Callithrix jacchus: one gene and its partners. The protein of the gene in region 1 purifies or fractionates together with the protein of each later gene. This does not show direct contact. Links are inferred from orthologs where the notes say so. Each region holds a gene or a part of one and is shown in the gene's direction. Other genes may lie near its edges. The genes, in order: MYCBP, OTUD4 and ARFGEF2.

Region 1 (3,752 bases):
TCTTCAGATCTGAATAGCGGTTGGCTTTTAGACATTTTATGTATTATCATAGAAGTAACCTAGTGGTGGTGGGGCACAGATAAAATAGTTAAGGGCCGCTCTAAAGACCAGCTGTTAAAGAGAGACAACTGCAAACTTATTTCAGCAATGGAAAAACAGCTGATTTTAGATGGTGAAGAAACACTTCTAAATTCAAAGACATAAAGCTGCCAAATCCGGATTTTTTAATGATGTCCTTTCGAATGTGTGTAACTGATTTTGGGAAAATCGTATGTTCAGAATTGAGGCTAAATTGAGGCTATTCTGGTTTTATCTTTGAAGAGACCACAGCCTTAGGAAATGGCTCTTGATCTATATACTTCCACCTTTTAGTTATGAATCCTTTATCTTTGAACACTGGGTTAATTTTGTTTGCCCCTAGAACACAATCACGTAGTTTCCTTCTGGATTGGATCCTGATGTATCTTGAGTATAATCACATGTTGCTACCTAGTAAATAAAATCTTTAAAAGATCCGTGGCTTTCTTTCACCAGTTGATAGCATCGTGATTCACGGCCCGCATTGGACTCGGCTCTACTCACTGGACATCTAACCTCTCCACTTTATTAACTGTACCCACACTACAGGGGTGTTGTGAGGATTAAAATTTAAAATACCTGTGTTTTCCACAGTGCCTGGCACACAGTAAACACTCAAAAACTATTGCCAGCTCGTTACTGCTTAGAGGCCCGCATCAAGTCAGCCACGACTCAAGGAGACTCTAAAGATAAAAGCTGGGGCCAAAATATACGATTCTAAACACCCTCCTCAGCTATTGCAAAGCTGTGAGCACTTTCTCAGAATGAGAGCCAAGAAGCCTAGCACCTATGGGTCACCACAACTTCCGAGGTCCCAGATGAGAAAGATGCGCTCGCTACCGTGCGGATATCCTTCCTCCTGCAATAGTCCCAAAGCTCCCGGGCCTTGCCTCCGGACGCCAGGCCGATCACCTGGACAAAGCTACAAAAATCTCGCCTTTTGCAAAGAAAACGAAACGCTACGGCGACCGGAAAAGGAAGAGTTGCGCTTCCAATAGCCAGAGGGGCGGGCATACGCAGCCTCCCTTGGCTCAGCCTGCTACGGAGGATGCAGAGCGTCCTGGTAGCCATGAAAACAGGCCACACCCCGGCGATTCCGGCTCGTGGTTCGCAAGTGCGCAGGCGCGCGCCCCTTCCGCGCATGAGCAGTGCTGTTCCCAGCCCGCCAGTCGCGGTCTCCGGCGCCAGCTACGCCGTTGCCGCTGTCACTATGGCCCATTACAAAGTGAGGGGGGCGCGGCGTGGCTGGGGGCATGCGGGCGGTAGGAAGCCGCTGGTCGGCTCCGGGTGGGAGTGGGGTCGCGCGCGCAGGTTTCGGCGCGGGGTGGGCCGGAGGTAGCGAGGCGGAGGCGGGGTTGCCGGACTCCCAGCGCCTTCTTCCTGCTCGGCCCCCAGGCTCTGGCCACTGACCCCCGGTGTCTCCTCAGGCCGCCGACTCGAAGCGTGAGCAGTTCCGGAGGTACTTGGAGAAGTCTGGGGTGCTGGACACACTGACCAAGGGTGAGCCTGGGCTAGGAGAGGATACCTTGTGCCCTCATCGTGCTCCCTGGCATTGCCTCGTTCCCCAGCGGGCCGTAGCGTGGGAAGGAGGGGAAACAGGTGGGAGCCGTGCGGGGTCCAGCGAGGTGGGCCTCGGGGTTCGGCAGGGCCCTGGCTGCTGGACGCCGCCCGGGTGGGGTAGCCTAACTACGCTACCCTTCTCCGCACCGGGAGTGAAACTCTTGCAGCTGTTGCAAAGTCTCTCCAACTTCCGTTGCTTTGCCTCGAGCAGCCGCAGTGGACGTGCTTGCCAAAGACCTTCAGATCCCAATTCCTCCCACCTTACAGTTTTTGTGGAGTCCTCATAATCTTGTTAAGAAACATTTTCCATCCAACAAAGAGCAACTGGAAAAATGACCGAATTTGAAAGTGGGCTATGAAGTAGCTGAGTGAACCTAATCCCCAAAATAGGCGATTCATAGCTAATTTGGCTGTGGCTTTTCAACCCCCATTCCTTAGTCTGTGTCAATTCTTATTTTGTGTATATTTCATAAAGTAGAATTACAGTTTAAAGAGCTCGAGGGCACATCAAAATGATTATATCGTTTTCACTTTTTAAAAATGAAAGCTTACTGTTAACACCATCTCTTCCTTCGTTGCTTCAAGATCTAAGTAAGTAAATGAGTAAAGTGTTGGAAACAGAATTCCAAAGGGTAGGATACAGTTTACTTCATTAGCTTAGCAGTAATTTGAATGCCTGCTGTGTGTCACTCAACTCTGGGATTTTCAAGGGTGTAGAATGGAATTGTTGGCAGGGATGAGGACCTAGGTGAAATGAAACTAGGAAGTTTGGGAAGTGTGGGAAATAAATTGTTAACTGCTCTTTGGACAGAAGCAAAGTTTAGGGGAAAATTCTAGGATCATAACTCCTGAGTCTTAGCAGAAGGCAGGCTTTTAATTTCCATGGGCTAGTAATTTTGAATTGCTACCTATTCCAGGTTCAGATAATAGGTTACCTCTTTGCAAATAAACTTCAACAAATATTAAGGGACTGCTCTGTGAAAGCACTGTGCACTGTTGTCTCTGGAAGTGTCACAGATGCTTTGAATGTCACTCCCTCTAAAAACTCCATAAGTTCATTTCTTTTATTTAATCATTTTACTTAGGCCTTTGTTCTGCCCACTGGAGATACAGCAGGTGAAGATAAAAGTCTCTGCTCTCATAAGCTTGTATCCTAGTTGAGGGAGACAAATACATAAATTGTAGTGTCAGCCAGTGATAAGTGTTACAGATAAAAATATAGCAGAGTTAGGGGGATAAAGAGGAACAGGTGAGGCCAGGCACTGCTCATGCCTGTAATCTCAGCACTTTGGGAGGCTGAGGTGGGTGGATCTCTTGAGCCCAGGAGTTTAAGACCAGCCTAGGCAACATGGCAAAACCCCGTCTCTTTAAAAAAAAAAAAAAAAAAAAAAAAATTGCTTGACATGGTGCTTGTCTGTAGTCTAGCTACTCTGGAGGCTGAGGTGAGAGAATCACCTGCGCCCAGGAGGTCAAGGCTGCAGTGAGTTGTGATTGTGTCACTGGGCAACAGAGTAAGACCTTGTCTCAAAAAAAAAAAAAAAAAAGTGACAGGTGGTGATGTGTGTGTCATTTTTATAGTGTGTGTGGGGGGGCGGGGCTTTCTTTAGTAACTTTTGAGCAAAAACTTGAAAGAAATAATATATGTCAAGAGTTCCAGAACATATAAGTAGGCCAGAGTGGTTGGATGGAGCAAGTGAAAGACTGAATGGTAAAAGGCAGAAAAATGACAGTTTTAGGAGGTAACTGATTACACAGAAGATGTTGCCCAGGGTGAAGTGCAGTGGCATGATCTTGGCTCACTGCAGCCCCCGGGTTCAAGCAATTCTCCTGCCTCAGCCTCCCAGGTAGCTGGGATTACAGGCATGTGTCACTATGCCCAGCTAATTTTTGGTATTTTTAGTAGAAACGGGGTTTCAACATGTGGGCTAGGCTGATCTTGAACTCCTGGCCTTAGGTGATCCACCTGCCTCAGCCTCCCAAAGTGCTGGGATTACAGGTGTGGGCCACCTCACCCGGACTCCACTGGAATTTAACCTCTCAATCTCCTTAGATTTCCAGGCTCCTAAATAAAATCAAACAACACAGTATTGATGTAATTTATTAAAAATTTGACT
Region 2 (3,652 bases), on another chromosome or scaffold:
TCTGCCAATAGATAGTTTTGTTGTAAATAGAGTATTTTTTTTAAACGGGGCCTCAGGTGTATATTGAAAGGAAGTTTTTACATTGTTTTGTAAATTCAGTTACTCTACCCATCCTTATTTCACAGTTTATTTTTGTTTTCTTATTGATTACTGAGCCAGTTAGAATTACTGGTGTCTTTGACATCTATCTTATATACACATATTTACTTACATATACCCTTTTATATATACATATACTTATAATAAAGCTTGTATGAGCTCACTGGAATATAGTTCTGACGTTTTGGAGCATAGTTCTGACTTTGAAGACTTTTAGATGAGGTTAGAAGGTAATTACATGCAAATATCTTTTTCTGCTCCTAATTATGGTAATCTTTCTTTATAGGAGTAAAACTGCTGCTGCTGATGTGAATGGATTTAAACCTTCGTCAGGGGATGAGGTATTTTTTTTTTTAAGTGGTTTTAAATTTAAAGTTTTAAGTTTTTTCTTTTTTCTGATACATTTCAGTCAAATTAGAATCATCTACTAAGAAATTTATTTGGTGACTTATTAATTTTTTCAAGTTTCTTTTATTCATTTGACTTTACTCTTACATGTATCTTAGACAAAAATGTTTTAAAGCACTTATGTGTTGATTGGACTTCCTGACTTTGTTTGTTTAGCAGCTGAAGAACAATGGGAACTCTGCTAGCCTGCCTTTATCTAGAAAGGTTCTTAAGTCACTCAGTCCCGCAGTCTATAGAAATGTAGAATATGAAATTTGGCTGAAGTCTAAACAAGGTAAATTAAAAATCTGCATTTTCCATAAATTTGCTTTTTGTAGCACTTGAAAATAAGTCAACTTTATATTATACTCAATTTTTCTTTTTAACTAGCTCAGCAGAAACGTGATTATTCCATTGCTGCTGGCTTACAATATGAAGTTGGAGACAAATGTCAAGTAAGTGACTTGTGGAAAAGAAGGGATTTTACTTGAAACCTTATTTTTTTAATAAGAACTGAGAAAACAGCTGAGGTGTTAATGTGTTGTTAATTTGGGATTTCAGAATATATTTATTATGTATATACATTTCAGTAGTTTACAAGTATTCAGCTTTTTGATTCATTTGAATACATTGCCAAAATTGTATGTATTCAAAACCGTGGCATCCATCACATGATCTTTAAAAGTAATTCAGCATTTGGTATTGCTTGGTTCAAAGAAGTAACAATACCTTTTCAGATACCTAGGTATTTTTGTTAAAATAGACGGAAATTGATTGAAAATTGACTTTATAGGTCATTTAGTTTTGTTTATGAAAATCATGTTGGGAGATTTCGATACATACATAATGTTTACTGTTGGACTGAGGAAGGAAAGTGAACCACAGAGGAGTTTTTGCCAATTAATTTGGATAAGCAGCTGCCCTGGGTTTGAGTAACTGATTGTTAAAGGAAAAAGTTGGATTAAAATCAGTTTTTATTGTCACAACTGGGAGGGTGCTACTGACATCTAGTGGGTAGAGGCCAAACCTGTGGCCAAACATTCTACAATGTACAGGACAGCCTCCCTCATGTCCTTCTAACAAAGAATACCTAGTCCAAAGTGTCAGTAATGCTTAGGCAGAAGAAACCCTAGGTAAGATAATTTATAGGGTCTCTTTTCTTGTTTTCTCTTCTTTGTTTACAGAAAAATATTGCTATTTCAAAAACAGAAACAAAACCCCCACATATACAGATGATGTTATGTGGAAGTTAATTCTCATCAGAAATTATTTTCATCAAAAAGTGTTGCCTTTAAAAAAAACTACTTTAAAACAGTCATTGGCAAACATTTCTTCTTGACTTATGGAGGAAACACTCATTTACTTTAAGTCATAATATTATTATAATATTATCATATTATGTGATAAATTGGTTTATGTGAAATCATCTGATTAGCCAGGATTTTATTTGGGACATCAACGATGGACTTTATCTTCAGAACCTTTAATAGTTCTGATTCTGGGTATTTAAAGGTGAGGAAGAAGAGAACATGATTCATTCAGGTACTGTGTTATGGGATTGTCTGCTCTAATTGTAGAAGGGAATTGCGGAAGCTTTTACTGCATTGACTGAGAAAACTTGAAAGAGGACAAAGGAGGTTAAATCCAGGGTTTAAAGGCCGTTCTCCCTACCCTCCTCAACAGAGAAGAGAATATGGCTTACACTGTATCACTAAAGTTTTGTTATTTATTTTAAATCAAGCATATTTCATTTGAGGTTGAAATTGCTTTTGGTAAAGAAGGTTTTTGATAAAGTAGATAGTAAAGCACATACTTTAATTTTTTTTCCTTTTTAGAGTATTTTATTTCCATCTCTACTACTTGACCATTTTATTTGGATAACATTTCGTTAAACTTTTAAGAAACTGAGGTGACTGACTCTAAGGTGACTTTTGTTTACTGAAGTTAAGTGTAGTTTAAACTTTTGATTAAAAACCAAGTTCAGAAAAAATTTTTTACTTGAAACTTTTGGAGGAAAAATGTCTGTTGGACTGATAAAGAATGAAATATCAGATTGAGGACTTTGATTTACTACTGAAAGTGGGAGGTTGCTTAAAGCATTGTCCTGTATGTCATACTTGGCAGGTGCACAATTCAATGTGGGCAGATTACCGATAGGAAGAAACCTTAGGCTTATTACTCTTTTATCATGGATTTACCGTTGGGTACTACTAATTGTATGCTAGAGAACAGTTAATGGATCTATTTTTAGGGATTAAAAAAAAAATCACAGTTGCACATTTTTAATATAGGAAAAATGGGAAGATAATAATAGTTGCTCTCATTTGTAGAGTGGTTGCTGTGTGCAAGTTGGTATCCTTTATGTGTATCCTGTGCACTCTCATTCCATCTCCATGAGTTCTGTGATGTAGGTACTATTATTAGCTCCATTTTGCATTATGAGGAAACTGAAGGGAGAGAAAAATAACTTGCTCGAGGTCATATTGCCGGTAAGTGGAAACGCCAGGCCTGGAAGCCTGGGGTGTGTGGGACCACAGCCCTGCCTTCAGAACCAGGACATGTTGCCTCTTTTGTTTAGAGCCTTAACATACTGTGCTCCTACTTTTTGAATAATTTAGAAAATTAGTTTAGAAAAAAATTTAAAGGAACAGAGAAGAAAAGTTTTTTTTCTTTTAGGTAGGATATAGGGACGTCTGAGAGGTTAAGGAGATGGATTTTATTGCAGACCTTTTTGAACTTATACTTTGTTTTTACTGATAAGCTTTATTTTCTGTTTAATCAAAGACTAAATTAAAAAAAAAACTGGCTGGGCGAGGTGGCTCATGCCTGTAATCCCAGCACTTTGGGAAGTTGAGGCAGGCAGATCACTTGAGGTCAGGAGTTCAAGACCAGCCTGGCCAACATGGTGAAACCTTGTCTCTGCTAAAAATACAAAAAACAAAACAAAACAAAACACCTTAGCTGAGGGTGGTGGTACATGCCTGTAATCCCCAGCTACTCGGGAGGTTGCGGCAGGATAATCCCAGGCTTGAACCAGGGAGGTGGAGGTTGCAGTGAGCTGAGATTGTGCCACTGCACTCCAGCCTGGGTGACAGAGCAAGACCTTGTCTCAAAACAAAACGAAAACCCCAAAAAACGAAAAACTGAAGATTCATGCAAAGGAAGC
Region 3 (3,652 bases), on another chromosome or scaffold:
TAGCAAACTACTTACTCATGCCTACTAAGAAGAAATCCATAGCTTTATGATGACAGTTCATTAGGGGCAAAAATGGAGATATGGATTAAAACTGTCTTTAAGAATAGGTAGGCCAAGCACAGTGGCTCACACCTGTAATCCCAGCACTTTGGGAGGCTGAGGCAGGCAGATCACCTGAGGTCGGGAATTCAAGACCAGCCTGACCAACATGGAGAAATCCCATCCCTACTAAAAATGCAAAATTAGCCAGGCGTGGTGGTGCATGCTTGCAATCCAAGCTACTTGGGAGGCTGAGGCAGGAGACTCGCTTAAACCCAGAAGGCAGAGATAATGGTGAGCCAAGGTCGCACAATTGCACTCCAGCCTGGGCAACAAGAGTGAAACTCCATCTCAAAATTAAAAGAAAAAGGAGGGGGTAGGGTTCAAGCTACTTGACTGGATTTGACAAAACAGACTTCCTGTTCATCTGCCTAACTTGCCTACTTTGGTGTATAAAAATATTATTTTCTAAGATCAGTTTTTATTATAATTTCTCATATTTCCAACTCTTCCCTGGAGAAACAAGTAGTTCAGTGCAATATGAATATGTCTGTAAACCTTCTGAAACTTGAAAAGTTTAAGCATATAAATGAAATATAATTCTGAAACTGTTATGAAATTAGGAGGTTGGCAAAATCCCATGCATCACTTTGTAAGTCAGTAAGAAGTTGCACCCCATTTATTTTTAAAAACTCAATCTTCTGTTCCCATTCATTTTACAGTTAGACATTTTCTTTTATACCAAGACCACAAGCTTTGAAGTTAGACCATCTAGACTTCAAAACCCAGCTCTGCCACTTCTCCAGCCATGTAACATTGGCCCAGCTAATGTCTCTCCAAGACACCAATTCATTTTCTCATTTGTAAACTTGAGAAAACAGACCTCCCTGGCAGAATTATTGGAGATGTCAGAATTTATGTGACAATCTTAGCATTCAGCAGACATAATGGAACATGGGACTGATAAGTTTGTAGTCAATTAGAAAGGAGAGAGCTGCTTCTCAAACATGTGGCAGTACATAGAGAGCCTCTCTGCAAGATGTTTCAAAAGTGAGAGGGCATTAGCATGGAATAACTGTTGTGTTAATGTGCAGAAAGCCAGTCAGTGTGCATACAAAAGGTATTAGAGAAGCCCAGTGTGCCAGCCCTGCAGATGTGAGAGTGGCCACTCTAGGGTTGGAGTCACAGTGTTTTCTCTTGGGCTTCTGTTACAGCTGGAACGAGATGCCTATGTTCAGGCTCTTGCTCGCTTCTCCCTGCTCACAGCCAGCTCCAGCATCACAGAAATGAAGCAGAAAAACATCGACACCATTAAGACACTTATCACAGTGGCTCACACTGATGGTAACTACCTTGGGAATTCTTGGCATGAGGTATGTGTCTCTTTGAATTGCCTTTTCTCAGTTAGGATGACTCCTGGCTTCCTTTTATTCATTGTTGATCTCTTTTGGTCAATTCAATTTTTCTTGAAGTCAAGCCTCACTGTACCACATGTATCTGAAAATCACCCTCTCTGGGGCTGTGAAAGGTGGGAGCGAGTTCAGGTGCACCAGCTCACAGTGAGCACCCTTGCACCCAGCAGCCAATGTCCCCCATGAAGTGTACGTCTATTGTTGCAGCTTTCTTTCCATATTAATGCCACTTTTTTAAAAGTCATTATGTACCTCTTGGGAGGTTGGGAGCTCCTATGATCAATGTATAAATTTAAGACAAAGCCAGGAGCCTGATTAGAAATGGTTGGCAGTCGCAATGAACGTTCAGTAGAGTGCTAGTGAGTTTACATTTTTTTTTAAACAGTATTCTAAGATTCTCACCCAAGGATACAATTACTTAGGTATACAGCAATGTATTTAAAAGGATATTTGTTGCAGTTTTAGTTGTTCTAGGGAAAAGGTTGGGTTAAAAAGAGCTAGATGTCCCAACAATATAAGAGATTGCTATTTTTTTTTAAAGTATGGTACAGCATTCCTTAGGTTATGTGGCCATTTAAAATAATGTTGTGGAAAAGAAAAGATAGGCAGATAGTATGTGCTCTCTGATAGAAGTGCACAATACTACCTAAGAAATGTGCTAGCCCCGACTCAAATCTGAATCAGTTCAAGCCTATATTGCCAGTTTACAGAAGAAACAATGAAAAGAGAAGCCTGTTAGATATAAGGGTACAGCTTGCAAACTCTAGGTGTGACAGATCTGCAGAGCAGAAGACCAGGTTTTTCAGCAAATAAATTGCAAGAAAAATAAGTGGAAGGGAGGAGGGTACCTATGGATTAAAAGAGATTTCAGAAAAAAAGATAAAGATGGTATTAAAGACTATTGTGGGAAAACAGTCACAGTAAAATTACAAGTTGTTATAAGACACTGTGAGGCATTGTCTCTTGTGGGAAAATACACAGAGAATGGAGTTTGAAAGGATAGACCAAAGCATTAACATTCTTGTCTGAGTGATGGAATTAATGGAAACTGTTTCGTTCTCGTTTTTCTTCATTTCTAGTATTTTTCTACCATCTGCATGTATTACTGTTTTGTTTAGAGAGAAAATTGTGGAAGAATAGAGATGAGGCTGTGGAGAATGTAAAGGATGGTTTGACATAGAAAGAAAATTACTGTCATCCTTCTTCTTCAGGTGGACCAAGTGGCTCAGAGTAAAGGCTCTAGAGCCTGGCAACTGGGGCCCAATTTGGAACTCCACCTCTCCTGCCTGGATGGCACAGGCAGGTTACTTTGTCACCAAGTCCCACCTTCTTTATCTCTGCAGCCTTCATAGGGTGGTTATGAGAATGAAAAGGGCTCGGGACTGTATTTGGCAAGGAGTAAGAACTCATTAGTGTTACCGGCTGTCTTCTTTGTGGCACCTGGCTTTGCCCCTCTTCACCAGCCTTTCCTCTCTCTGTCACAACTCTGAGTAACCCACGTTAGAAATAACTTAGTTACAGCTGGGCATAGTGGCTCACATCTGTAATCACACTTTTAGGGGTTGAAGCAGAAGGATTGCTTGAGACGAAGAGTTCCAGACCGGCCTGGGCAACATAACAAGACCCCGTATCTTTAAAAAAAAATTGTTTTTTAAATAGCTAGACATGGTGGTGCATGACTGTAGTCCCAGCTGCTTGGGAGGCTGAGGCAGCAGGATTGTTTGAGCACAGGAGTTCAAGGCTGCAGTGAGCTGCGATTGCACCACTGTGCTCCAGCTGGGGCAACTGAGCAAGACCTTGTCTCTAAAAGGAAAAAAAATTTTGAGTTGTGTGCTTTTTAAAATCATTTTCTGCCTTGTAAGGAGTCATAATACCTAGAGAATCAATGAATACTTGCTTTTTCTTCTAAAACTTTTTTTAGGCTGGGAGGTATGACCAATATGAAGTTCCTGCTGCCTGCCAAGTATATGATAGGATCTAGAAATGTTGAAAATTAATTAGCTACCTCTGTGGTTGTCAGAAGCCCTGAGAAATCAGCTTGGAACTAATAAGCTCTTGGCCTTTCAGTATTGGTGACATACTTCGAATTCCAGCTATCCCCAGCTTCTGCAAAAGAAAGGGCATTACTAGGTTACTACTAATAATTTAATAGTATCATGCTGTGTGAAGAAATCAGGGGATGTTTCTCTTTGGTGGAATTA

The links.
Region 2: the proteins of MYCBP (region 1) and OTUD4 purify together in Homo sapiens (co-immunoprecipitation; 3 studies listed by BioGRID and IntAct, with this or other methods). This does not show direct contact. The link is inferred for Callithrix jacchus from reciprocal best matches to the Homo sapiens genes MYCBP and OTUD4.
Region 3: the proteins of MYCBP (region 1) and ARFGEF2 purify together in Homo sapiens (co-immunoprecipitation; 4 studies listed by BioGRID and IntAct, with this or other methods). This does not show direct contact. The link is inferred for Callithrix jacchus from reciprocal best matches to the Homo sapiens genes MYCBP and ARFGEF2.

The regions. Positions count from the first base shown.
Region 1 is NC_133508.1:75,429,839-75,433,590, reverse strand, and holds the start of MYCBP (C-Myc-binding protein), read left to right. Parts: upstream 1-1,217; 5' UTR 1,218-1,219; coding exon 1,220-1,303; exon of another isoform or gene 1,304-1,505; coding exon 1,506-1,677; exon of another isoform or gene 1,678-3,752. Other genes in the region: GJA9 (gap junction alpha-9 protein), read left to right, coding at 1-13. UniProt on the Homo sapiens protein: May control the transcriptional activity of MYC. Stimulates the activation of E box-dependent transcription by MYC.
Region 2 is NC_133504.1:51,842,247-51,845,898, forward strand, and holds part of OTUD4 (OTU domain-containing protein 4), read left to right. Parts: intron 1-385; coding exon 386-440; intron 441-663; coding exon 664-781; intron 782-876; coding exon 877-941; intron 942-3,652.
Region 3 is NC_133506.1:44,070,972-44,074,623, forward strand, and holds part of ARFGEF2 (brefeldin A-inhibited guanine nucleotide-exchange protein 2), read left to right. Parts: intron 1-1,253; coding exon 1,254-1,412; intron 1,413-3,652. UniProt on the Homo sapiens protein: Promotes guanine-nucleotide exchange on ARF1 and ARF3 and to a lower extent on ARF5 and ARF6. Promotes the activation of ARF1/ARF5/ARF6 through replacement of GDP with GTP. Involved in the regulation of Golgi vesicular transport.